Linked DNA regions of Arabidopsis thaliana. The protein of the gene in region 1 binds, or shares a complex with, the protein of each later gene. Each region holds a gene or a part of one and is shown on either strand. Other genes may lie near its edges.

Region 1 (3,825 bases):
TTCAAATATAAATATATTCTTTGAAAATTTGAAACATAATTCATTATGAAGTAAATATTAAATAAAACAGAAAGTGTTCCATACTGAATTATAGTTTCATTTTGAATACTATTCTATACAAAAATAAAAACAATAAAAAAAAATTGAGAGAAATATTAGCAATGAAAACAAAACTATCAAAGAATTGTTTTTGAAGTTAAAAAATATAAAATTTCAAAGTTCGAGGTCGGTGGCTAACTAACATGAAAAGCGCCGAGCAACTTGTGATATGTACGAGTTGGACCAAGTCGTGACGACTTTTTTAATAAGCTTAAGATCCAATTATTTCTCAAGAAAAACAGTAAAACGTACGCCAACATATATTAACTACGACGACAAAATTCTTGGCCTTTAAGAAAGACTAGTACACGATCAATCCCAACGATTAAACCAGCAGACGAGTAACCATATGTAGGGTACGAGTTTCTCAACCACATCTCCAACTTTTCAGTAGACGATCTAATTATGTTTAACCACTAGAAGCCGACACCATAAACATCCATCCGAGGTTATCGTCTTTCGAAGAGTTCCTAACGAGCATTCATGAAACATCATTCTCACTTCTCCTCCCACTAAACCGACTTTTTTCGGATGTTATTTCAAATTTGGTTAATTGCTAAATGATTGACCATTAATTCGACCACGTGATTACACAAAGAGACGTTTAGATCCACTACATTGGTGCGATGTGAAGTGATCACCATGCTTTAGTTTACACGTCCACTTTATATAGGTTTGGCAGTTAAAAAAAAGAAGTTTTATACATAGTTCTATCAAGTGGTCTTAGACCGAATCTTGGCAATATATTTGTTATAAGACTACCAATATCATTAATGATTAGAGAAAGTTAATGTTAAGTTTCATCAGATTCTAATTTAAAACCAATGGGTAATGATTGGATTGGTTGTGTTCCATATATACTAGTGTTAGCACTTAGCAGTCATGAGTGTGTTTACTCCATTTATAGTATACTTTCGATGTAGGATCCTAATTAGAATGATAAAGAAACATTCCAAAAGAGTATTATCAAAATGCTCTTCGTCTATCCATACAAATATAATGAGATTTGGGCAGAAACAACCATTTTGTTAACATATTAGGGTCGAGCGCAGAAAAAAATATATTTTGACCTGTGTTAATAAAATAGAATAGGTTGCGATTTTAATTAAGGAGGTTAATAAATTAAAATCGTAAAAATGATACCAAAATGGTAACAAAATCGTAAAGAAAAGTTCATTAGTATAAATATAAAAAATTCGGTCCAACAAATATTACTATTAAAAATTTATAAGAGAGATTTATAATAAAAAAAAAATTGTTATACCAAGAAAGAAAAGGAGATTCTTGTATTGTAACCCGTTTGTGTGTCTTTTTTAGTCTCAGATTTGTTTTAATTTTCTATGACTTAGGATTTGTAAGTCTTTTTTGGATTTCTAGAACCTGATCGAGGAAATTTCAATGAATATAGTGTAATTGGTTTGTTTGGATTTTGTTCCCTTTGTTTACCTTGTTTGGTATTTGGCTTCGGGAGTGTTCTTGTACTCATCGGCTTATGTCTCCGGAAGTGGTTTGTACTTGCCGGCTCTTGTATTTCAACTTGAATCCTATCGATGAAAATCCTATTGACAAAAAATGAAAAAAAAAATGAAGCTTCCATCATCCATCATTCAGTGGCAGCATAAGCATTTAAGACTACGTGCCGTTTAAGGCCAAGACAAACGGCACTCAGTTCCCTTTTGAAATGGTCAAATGGCGATTGAGTTGTTTTCCTCTCTCTCTCTCATTTTTTCAATTAAAGAAGGGAAAGAGGGGAAATCTCTGATCGGAGAGAAAGATCGAATCGAAGAATGGCAGAATTCGTTGAAGCTGATAACGCAGAAGCAATAATCGCGAGGATCGAAACCAAATCGAGGAAGATTGAAAGCCTACTCAAACAGTAATATCAGACCTTGGAGCTAAACCCTAAAGTCTTCTTTTGTTTTTGGTTTAATCCCTTATCGGTGTTTTAATGTGTGCAGGTACAAACATGTAGAAGCTTTGAAAACGGCTCTTGAAGGTTCGCCTCCGAAAACTCGCGATGAACGTTGCAAGGTCTCTCTCTTTCCGAAACCATCTTTTTTTTTTTTTTTGATTTACTGAGCCAAAAAAAACTCAACTGCAGTCGGCTAATTGGATAGTTGTGCACAGAGCTTTAATGGCCATTAAGGATATTGACGGAATGCTCAATGCTCTTGATGTCGAATATTACGACATTCTCATGAAGTAAGTGCAAAGTTGGTTTTTTTTTTTTTTGCTGTAATGCGTTTTGTAATATGTATGAATTGGAAAGCTCTATCCTCAGGCTGTCTGTGCTCTTTGATAGAATGTTTTTGCTTAAAATTCTCAGGTACTTGTACAGAGGACTTTCTACTGGGGACCGACCCACCTGCGATCAGTGCCTGAAGATTCACGAGAAACTCACTGAGAGAGCTGGTCTCGGTTGCATTCTCCGATGTCTTACTGATACCATCAACACCGTTTGATCCATCATTCCCTCTTATGTATTATTACTTGATGCCTTGATGTTTCCAATGTGCATATTCTCCTTGAGGAACCATGTCTCACATTTATCAGTTTTAGACTTGTATTTTCATTACCAAACAGTTGCTTGATAAATGATAACACAAGTCATTCCTAGAGCTCATGTGTAACATAATTCCCGGATCAGCTGAATCATAAATACGAAGACCAAGTTGTGATTAAGTAATTTTAGGGGGGTGTATTGAAACCAGAATCTTTTAGAAGATTTGGTGGAATTTGCATTCTTCTACAGACCAAATCCATTCTCGATTTTGCCGGTGAAGAACAGAGACCGAAAGCTTTTTTCATGGAAGACGAGGGGAGGAGGACAATGAGAATATGTCGCAGAGATTTTCTGTGAATCTTTTTTTAAATCAAATCGTTCAGAATAACACCTACAGGTGAGATTTTTTCATGCTTATTTTCAACTAAATTTTTTTGCCTAAGTCTCCCAGAATCAATGTTAAATGTTTTTAATGAAATTGTTTTGTTGAGTTTAGATAACAGTGGATTTAAGATGTGTTTTATAAATTCTTGAATGAATAACAGAAGATTATAGATTCTTTTGAGTGATTTTATATAAATTCCAATTTCAATAACAAAGGATTTGAGAAAAAAATTACAAATCACAAGTTGAATACAACCATTCCTGATTCACTGAATGTTCATAACTCGAAGGCCCAATATCGAACTCAGCCCATTGAAACTAAATTCATTTCTAAACTTTCAATGTAAATGCACTCGTCATACAAGAGTAAATGTTCACATAGTTAGTCATTGATTTAAACAATTTTACTCTTTAGATTTTTAAAATTTTATAGGATTGTAATAAACCAGGTTGAATTCAAATGTCAAATAGCGTTAAATAAAAGTTTAGATCTTTTTTTTTTTTTTTTTTTTTTTTATCAACGTTAGTACAAGAAGAAACAAGAGCAGCTTTTGCCAAAGCATCAGCTTGATCAACGTTTCCTTATAAAAGACAAAAGCAATTAAGTTTTTACTTTTACAGTCTTTTTGATCAAATTAAATGAGTAATTGAGTAGTAGTAGTAACAAAAGGGAATCCCAGAAATAGTAGTTGCTTTCACATGAAAAAATTTCCAAATACAACAATTTTTATTTATTATTTATAGCATCCGGTAGTTCCAGATGAACTCTTGAAAACCTATTTTCAATAAATCTGATGATCCTCTTTTGATATTTCAAAAATATTAAGATATATAACAAT
Region 2 (6,003 bases), on another chromosome or scaffold:
TACGGAAAAAACAAGCGCGAAGAGGAAATTACAGAGAGAATCAATCAGAAGAAGGAGATTGTTGCGATGATGCTAACAATTAGCAGTGAAGGAGCCAACGAAAATCACGGTTAATAAAATGGCGCCGTTTTCCGATAATGTCTCCAAAACTCGCCGGAGAAGTTTGAGCAGTTTGGAAATAATCTTCGTCGTGGTTAGATTTGGATGAACCACCGGGTGATTTCTCTATAACTTTATGGGCCTATATCTCTTTATTGGGCCAACGCTCATAATGTTTTATATGTCGTTGAGGTAGTTTAACAGTCACCAACACCAACGTTTCTGACACGGTGTTGCCGTTATTGGGCCAAAGCCCATATTAAGACCTCAAAAAGTTTTTACAGTTTTTTATTTTGGGATTGTAAATCAGTTTTTTTTGTTTCTAGTTAATTTAAAAGTTTTCAAATCCTTTTTTACTCATGGCAGGTTAGGTAATCATTTTGTCTTTGATCTAGCTTGAAGCTGCTGTACTTAGACTAGCTGCAGAACATGCAGTAGAAGGAAGCTGGTTCCATCAATTCAGAGTTGTGGCAATCTTTTGGGTTTTAACAGAAAACAATAGGGATCTACCTTGTGTGGCAAGAAATAGGGTTCCTTTTCAAAATTACAAATAATCTTTCACTGTTTTGACTCTGTTTGCTTACTCAAGAATTAAGATATATGCATTTCGTCTCTTCTCGACCTTTTGGCTTTGGTTATTACACAATATATTAGTCTCAACATTATTAGTTAATACACGTTTTTCTGTATATCCCACCAATCACATGTCGAATTTTGGATCCCTAACTGCAACCAATTGTACTCAAACTTTGAAACCTAAAATACTGAATTCACAAACGGAATTAAATCATCCTGACGGTAGTAAAAAAAAGGGGTACAAGTACAAGTATGAGTTCTGCGTTTGAAAGTTATTAAGCTTGGCTCATTTTATTCAAACAATTAATTCCTTCTTCCATATAGTCCTCTCTATTGATCCAGAACTCTGGTGCGTCCTGCAACATCGAATCCAAATTCTCTTAACATCATAACACAGACTAAAATTTCATGCTTTCGTGTTAAAAGAGAGAATAGCATTGAACTTTTCTCTTACCTTCATGATTCCTGCAAGAACAGCACCTCCGAGGTATACCATGTGTTTCCTTCTCGGTGGATCTTCGATCCGCAATCTGAGTTTCTGATTGATAAGAAAAACGAAGATAAATGTTAAAAACTGAGCTAATGACTGACAGTGATCATGGCATTATCAGAATCATCTTTTTTACCTTCAAGCCATCTTTGTTTCCTTTTAGAACTGTGTCGAGATACCGATCCTGTATTTCTTTCTCAAGACTGAAACAAACAGAGAATAAAAGACAATGAAACATAAAACAATGGAACTTCTTGCTGGGTTATGATGAAGAAAAAATATACGAACCGGCTAGGTAATCCTGGGTACATGGTGCTACCTCCGCTTAAAACTATGTGTTGGTAGAGCTGTGAAAAAAGAGCAAAGGGTTTAAGACAGATAAATGATTAGTTTTGTTGGATCTTTCTTTTGAAATACCAAGCAAGCGTAAGAGTCACACGAACCATCATGCGGTTATCAATATCCATTTCTTGAATACATCGGAAAACCATGTCTGCCATTCCATCACCTTCAACATCAATGAGTTCCTGAAAAAATATTTGGTTGTGATCAGCCTCGAGATTCTTGGAGGGTTGAAACTATTCCAAAAGAGAAATTAGCAGAGGACGCGATGAAGGTTTACCGGAGTAAAAAGCGCTTCAGGTGCTTGGAATCTTTCAGTGCCTACTTTGATAACCCTCCCATCTGGAAGCTGATCACAGTTCAAAAACACAACGGGTTAGTACTCTGGAAAAAAAATAATTTGGTGATAATATCAGCTTTAGAGGCTGCAACTGGCACAAGTATGAAACTTTATCGACTATCGGATGAAAAATCCCAAACACAGCGCCCAAGAACAGAGAAACGATGTCATGAAAAGAAAAGATGATAATATCATTCTTTCATTACCAAAAAGAACAAAGGAATGATGGCACGAATCTTTAAAGTTCTCTACAGGCTCAAGTTCGCCAAGAATCTGCTATCTATTTAGTTCTGATCATGAGTTTGGATTCCTATTAGCTTAACGTACACTAGTTTCTGTTTCTTGCCTCTATTTGCCATCGAAACCTTGAAAATTCACACACCTGACAGGTTCATACCAGGAGAGAGACTTACAGTATAATTCTTAACAAGGATAGTTGTCTCAAGGCCAAGCTGAGATTCTCTCTTGTAATCATAACTGCAAAAAAAGACAAAACAAATTGTGTTTATTTCCTATTCTAGTAATGCATTACTACACAGATATTAGAGGAAAGCTGAGAAGAGGTCTTTGCATGCCTTATATAGCAGAGCTTCTCTTTAATTTCCCTAACCGTCTCAAAGTCAGCTGTTTTGTTCATCGCATATCTGTTGAACAAACAGTCTTTTAGTTTAGCTAATTTAAAACATCTCAACATCATTAAAATGAATGTGAGTCTATGAATCAGTTTCTCACCCTCGTCGAGATAGTAGATCAACGAGATATGCTGTTATGTGTCTGCCAGCAACATTCATTCTTTTAGTAAGATGAGGGAACGAGTAGCCGTCAACCACCGGAACCTAAGATGTGAGGCGAAGACGGTTAACTTCTCTATTATAAGCAATATATGATCTAAAAAATTACAGAGGTTTATAGCTTACCACATGAGTAACACCATCACCAGAATCAATAACCAAACCAGTTAGCAAACCTGAAACCAAGAGTTCAACACATGAAGAAAAATATCAGGGAAGCACACATAAATGCTATTTACAGGTGACTATCTAAACACACGAAAGAAAATCTAAACCTTCAATAGTCTCCATAAGCACCTTGAGCATAGAGAGTCAAAACGGCTTGGATTTGAATGAAAACGCCAGCGAAATTGTATTTCTCAAACATTGTCTCAATCTGTTTTATAACATAAAATAAATCACTGCTCCAACAACCATCAAAGCAACTCTTAACCAAAGACTTGATAATATCTTACCATTTTTTCACGATTCTTGGACGGATTAAGAGGTGGATCCGTGAGCAATATCTTACAGTCAGATGGATTGATCTGTTAATAACAAAAAGGGTTTAAGAGTAAGTCAAGACACATGGAACCGAGACAAAAATGGCAAGAAGAAGCAGGAGAAGAAACTTACTTTCAATTCGTTATAGAAAGCATGATCCCAAACATGTTCCATATCATCCCAATTCTGCACAATACCATTGTGGACAGGATAATTTATATCCAATTGATGCCGGAGCTCAGAGCAAGTCTCCCCAACAACTATATCCTAAAATGAAACAAAACCAAAACGTATATGAATCCGAATTACGCATATCAGCTCAGTCAAAACTCAAAAGGCTAACAATGATCTGGTTTTGCTTATTTAAAGTCACATATCTACAAACCTTGACTTGTTGCTCCATGAGTGATTCTTCATACCGAAGCAATGGCCTTCCCACGACACAGGGGAAAACAGACGTTGGGAAATTCTCTCCAGCAAATCCACATTTTACATACTGAAAAATTTAATAAGAGGCTCACAATTTGTTCCCATCACAAGAAACTCAAAACTTAAGCAACCCATTATGAGATTTCTCATGTATTAGTTTTGATTTCAATAGAAACACGATCTTACACTATGCTAAGACATGAAAGTTTTCAAATTTTGCAACTTTAAGACAACTAGATCCTAAACAAACTCAAAAGTGAGATTTTTAACGAAACCCAGATAGGAATGGAATGATTGATCAGATTCAACTAAAGTTCGGAGTCTGAAACAAGAGATATCAGAGAGAAGAAGCTTACACCGGTGCCGTTGTCGCAAACGACGACGTTTTTGTTGTCCATCTTCTCCGATTTCTATAGAGACTACAGATTTTTATCGAAGTACAAAAATTTCGATTTCTTCGATTCGATCTCTCAGGGAACAAAAGAAAAAACCTGTCTTTGAATCGAAGCGAAGAATCACTCTTCTCTACTTGTTTGGTCGCGATCGAGAAAACATATTTGCTCTTCGACAAACAAAAAGCAGCTGTTTCCTCGTTTCTTTATAAGAATGCGCGTCGTTTACTCTACGTGAAAACGTCACGTAGTGCAAACGGTCAATACATAGAAAAAATTATTAAATACGTTACCCCTTTTCTCGAATTATTGAGATGGAGTTAACTTGGTTGTGGGTATTGATGGGCTATCTCAGGCCCATATTAGGTCAAACAGATAATTCTGTTTACTTGTATAACAATCTTCTAGATGATCTAAACTAAGAATTAGTAAATGATCATCATGCAATCCCTTGATCAGAGATTTCAATCACTATTAGGGTTATGTTACGAGAAAGATGTTACTAGGGTTTTGGTACGAAGTTGGGATATCAATCTTCTTCTAGGTTTTTTTGTTGTCTCTATGTTGTCTCAATACTAAAATTTATTCTACATAACATGTTGTAAATTAAGTTCCTGTCACAACATGTTATGTATCAGTCACCAATATAGTAAAAATAAGATAAGACTTTTACAGTTTCACACACACAAGTCCAATGACTTGTTCGATGTAAAATCAGCTTTCATGTTTTCACTTTTATATAGGTTAATTAGGACACACACTGTCTCTCATGCTTACTGGAACATTGCTAAGCTGCTTTATTTAGTTCTGGTAAGAACAAAACTGCATGTCTTAGACCTCAAAGTAACCACGCGTTTCATCTTCACTTCTGTATATTGAAATGGAAGAATTCGTAGACAAGTCAAGCTCCTTGCCCAATGTGTCGAAGAGAATGGAAATTAAAAGAGTAAGCAACTTAAGTCACGCTCTCATCATGAGGGAGGCTTTGGAATGGATCTATTGGAGTTGTATTTGGACCATAGTGTTGAGTTAGATCATTGCTCAAAAGGGAAAGAGAGAGCTTTGTGAATGTTTTTGAATTTTCTTCACTTGTTTTGATTGGTTGGACAAATCATAGAGATCAAGCAACTTTTTGACTCGTTAACCTCTCTCTCTCTCTCTCTCTTAGTCTCTTTCCTTAGTTCCGTCAAATTCAAGTCAAAATGAGTAAAATGATATAAACTTTTTGACTCGTTGAACAATTTATACTTATCTTTGAAAAAGCTTGCAAGGCAAAGAGTAAATGCAATACCAGCTTATTTGGTTCCCAACTGCGAAGGGTTTGTACCTAGTTCAAAACCTTCCCACAGTTAACGGCACACTCAGGGCAATAACATGAATGTAAGTAAGAGTTAAAGAATACAACGTTACCATCATTGTGAAATCCATTGCAGCTCAAAGCCACTGAATCAGAACATGCAGCGAAGTGTTTTACACTCGACTCTAAACGAAAGTCTTTAACTCATTCAGAGAGATCGAACGAAAGAGAACAATCTTTGGAGATGCAATAGAAGAATACTGAGCAAAAGAGAGCTATAAATCTTCATTCTACAAATATGTGATGGAAGACAAGTATACATTACCATTGTTGTACTATCTGAAAAAAGCCGGTTTCTTGATATTCAAAAGCAACAAAACTCAGAACAAGTAAAAACAAGCCTCTCTGCAACTTAAAGACTCCAAACAAAAAAATCTCTGGCTGTGTGTATTCAACAAACTCCACCTGCAAGTTCAAACAACAACTGCCAAAAAATTGTCACAAACACTCGGAAAAAAAGGTTTGAAGATTCCACTCTCTTGTATCATCATCCTCAAATTGAACTCACCTTGTGTTTTTGCAGAGGTTTCAATAAGTATAGATTATCACTCTCACTCAGTATATAACCTTTTCTTTTTCTTCTCCATGGTGGTACAAATTACAACAATATTATCACAAAACAAAAGCCAAAAGCTTTTTCAAATCCAGAAGATACAAAAAAAAACCCAATCCTTTTAACGACCTGAGCCTTGAGAATCATCTTT

Evidence for each region.
Region 2: CRK (region 1) and ARP2 share a complex: the UniProt entries of both Arabidopsis thaliana proteins name them as parts of the arp2/3 complex.

Annotation. Positions count from the first base shown.
Region 1 is NC_003075.7:733,890-737,714, forward strand, and holds CRK (ARP2/3 complex 16 kDa subunit (p16-Arc)), read left to right. Parts: upstream 1-1,763; 5' UTR 1,764-1,886; coding exon 1,887-1,975; intron 1,976-2,057; coding exon 2,058-2,130; intron 2,131-2,200; coding exon 2,201-2,301; intron 2,302-2,425; coding exon 2,426-2,561; 3' UTR 2,562-3,076; downstream 3,077-3,825. Other genes in the region: AT4G01703 (uncharacterized protein), read right to left, coding at 363-476. UniProt on the Arabidopsis thaliana protein: Functions as a component of the Arp2/3 complex which is involved in regulation of actin polymerization and together with an activating nucleation-promoting factor (NPF) mediates the formation of branched actin networks.
Region 2 is NC_003074.8:9,951,837-9,957,839, forward strand, and holds ARP2 (actin related protein 2), read right to left. Parts: upstream 4,147-6,003; 5' UTR 3,949-4,146; coding exon 3,907-3,948; intron 3,618-3,906; coding exon 3,507-3,617; intron 3,389-3,506; coding exon 3,254-3,388; intron 3,166-3,253; coding exon 3,094-3,165; intron 3,015-3,093; coding exon 2,936-3,014; intron 2,815-2,935; coding exon 2,765-2,814; intron 2,684-2,764; coding exon 2,580-2,683; intron 2,492-2,579; coding exon 2,423-2,491; intron 2,325-2,422; coding exon 2,261-2,324; intron 1,857-2,260; coding exon 1,788-1,856; intron 1,693-1,787; coding exon 1,609-1,692; intron 1,513-1,608; coding exon 1,454-1,512; intron 1,369-1,453; coding exon 1,302-1,368; intron 1,214-1,301; coding exon 1,130-1,213; intron 1,032-1,129; coding exon 951-1,031; 3' UTR 643-950; downstream 1-642. Other genes in the region: TCP20 (TEOSINTE BRANCHED 1, cycloidea, PCF (TCP)-domain family protein 20), read right to left, coding at 5,974-6,003. UniProt on the Arabidopsis thaliana protein: Functions as ATP-binding component of the Arp2/3 complex which is involved in regulation of actin polymerization and together with an activating nucleation-promoting factor (NPF) mediates the formation of branched actin networks.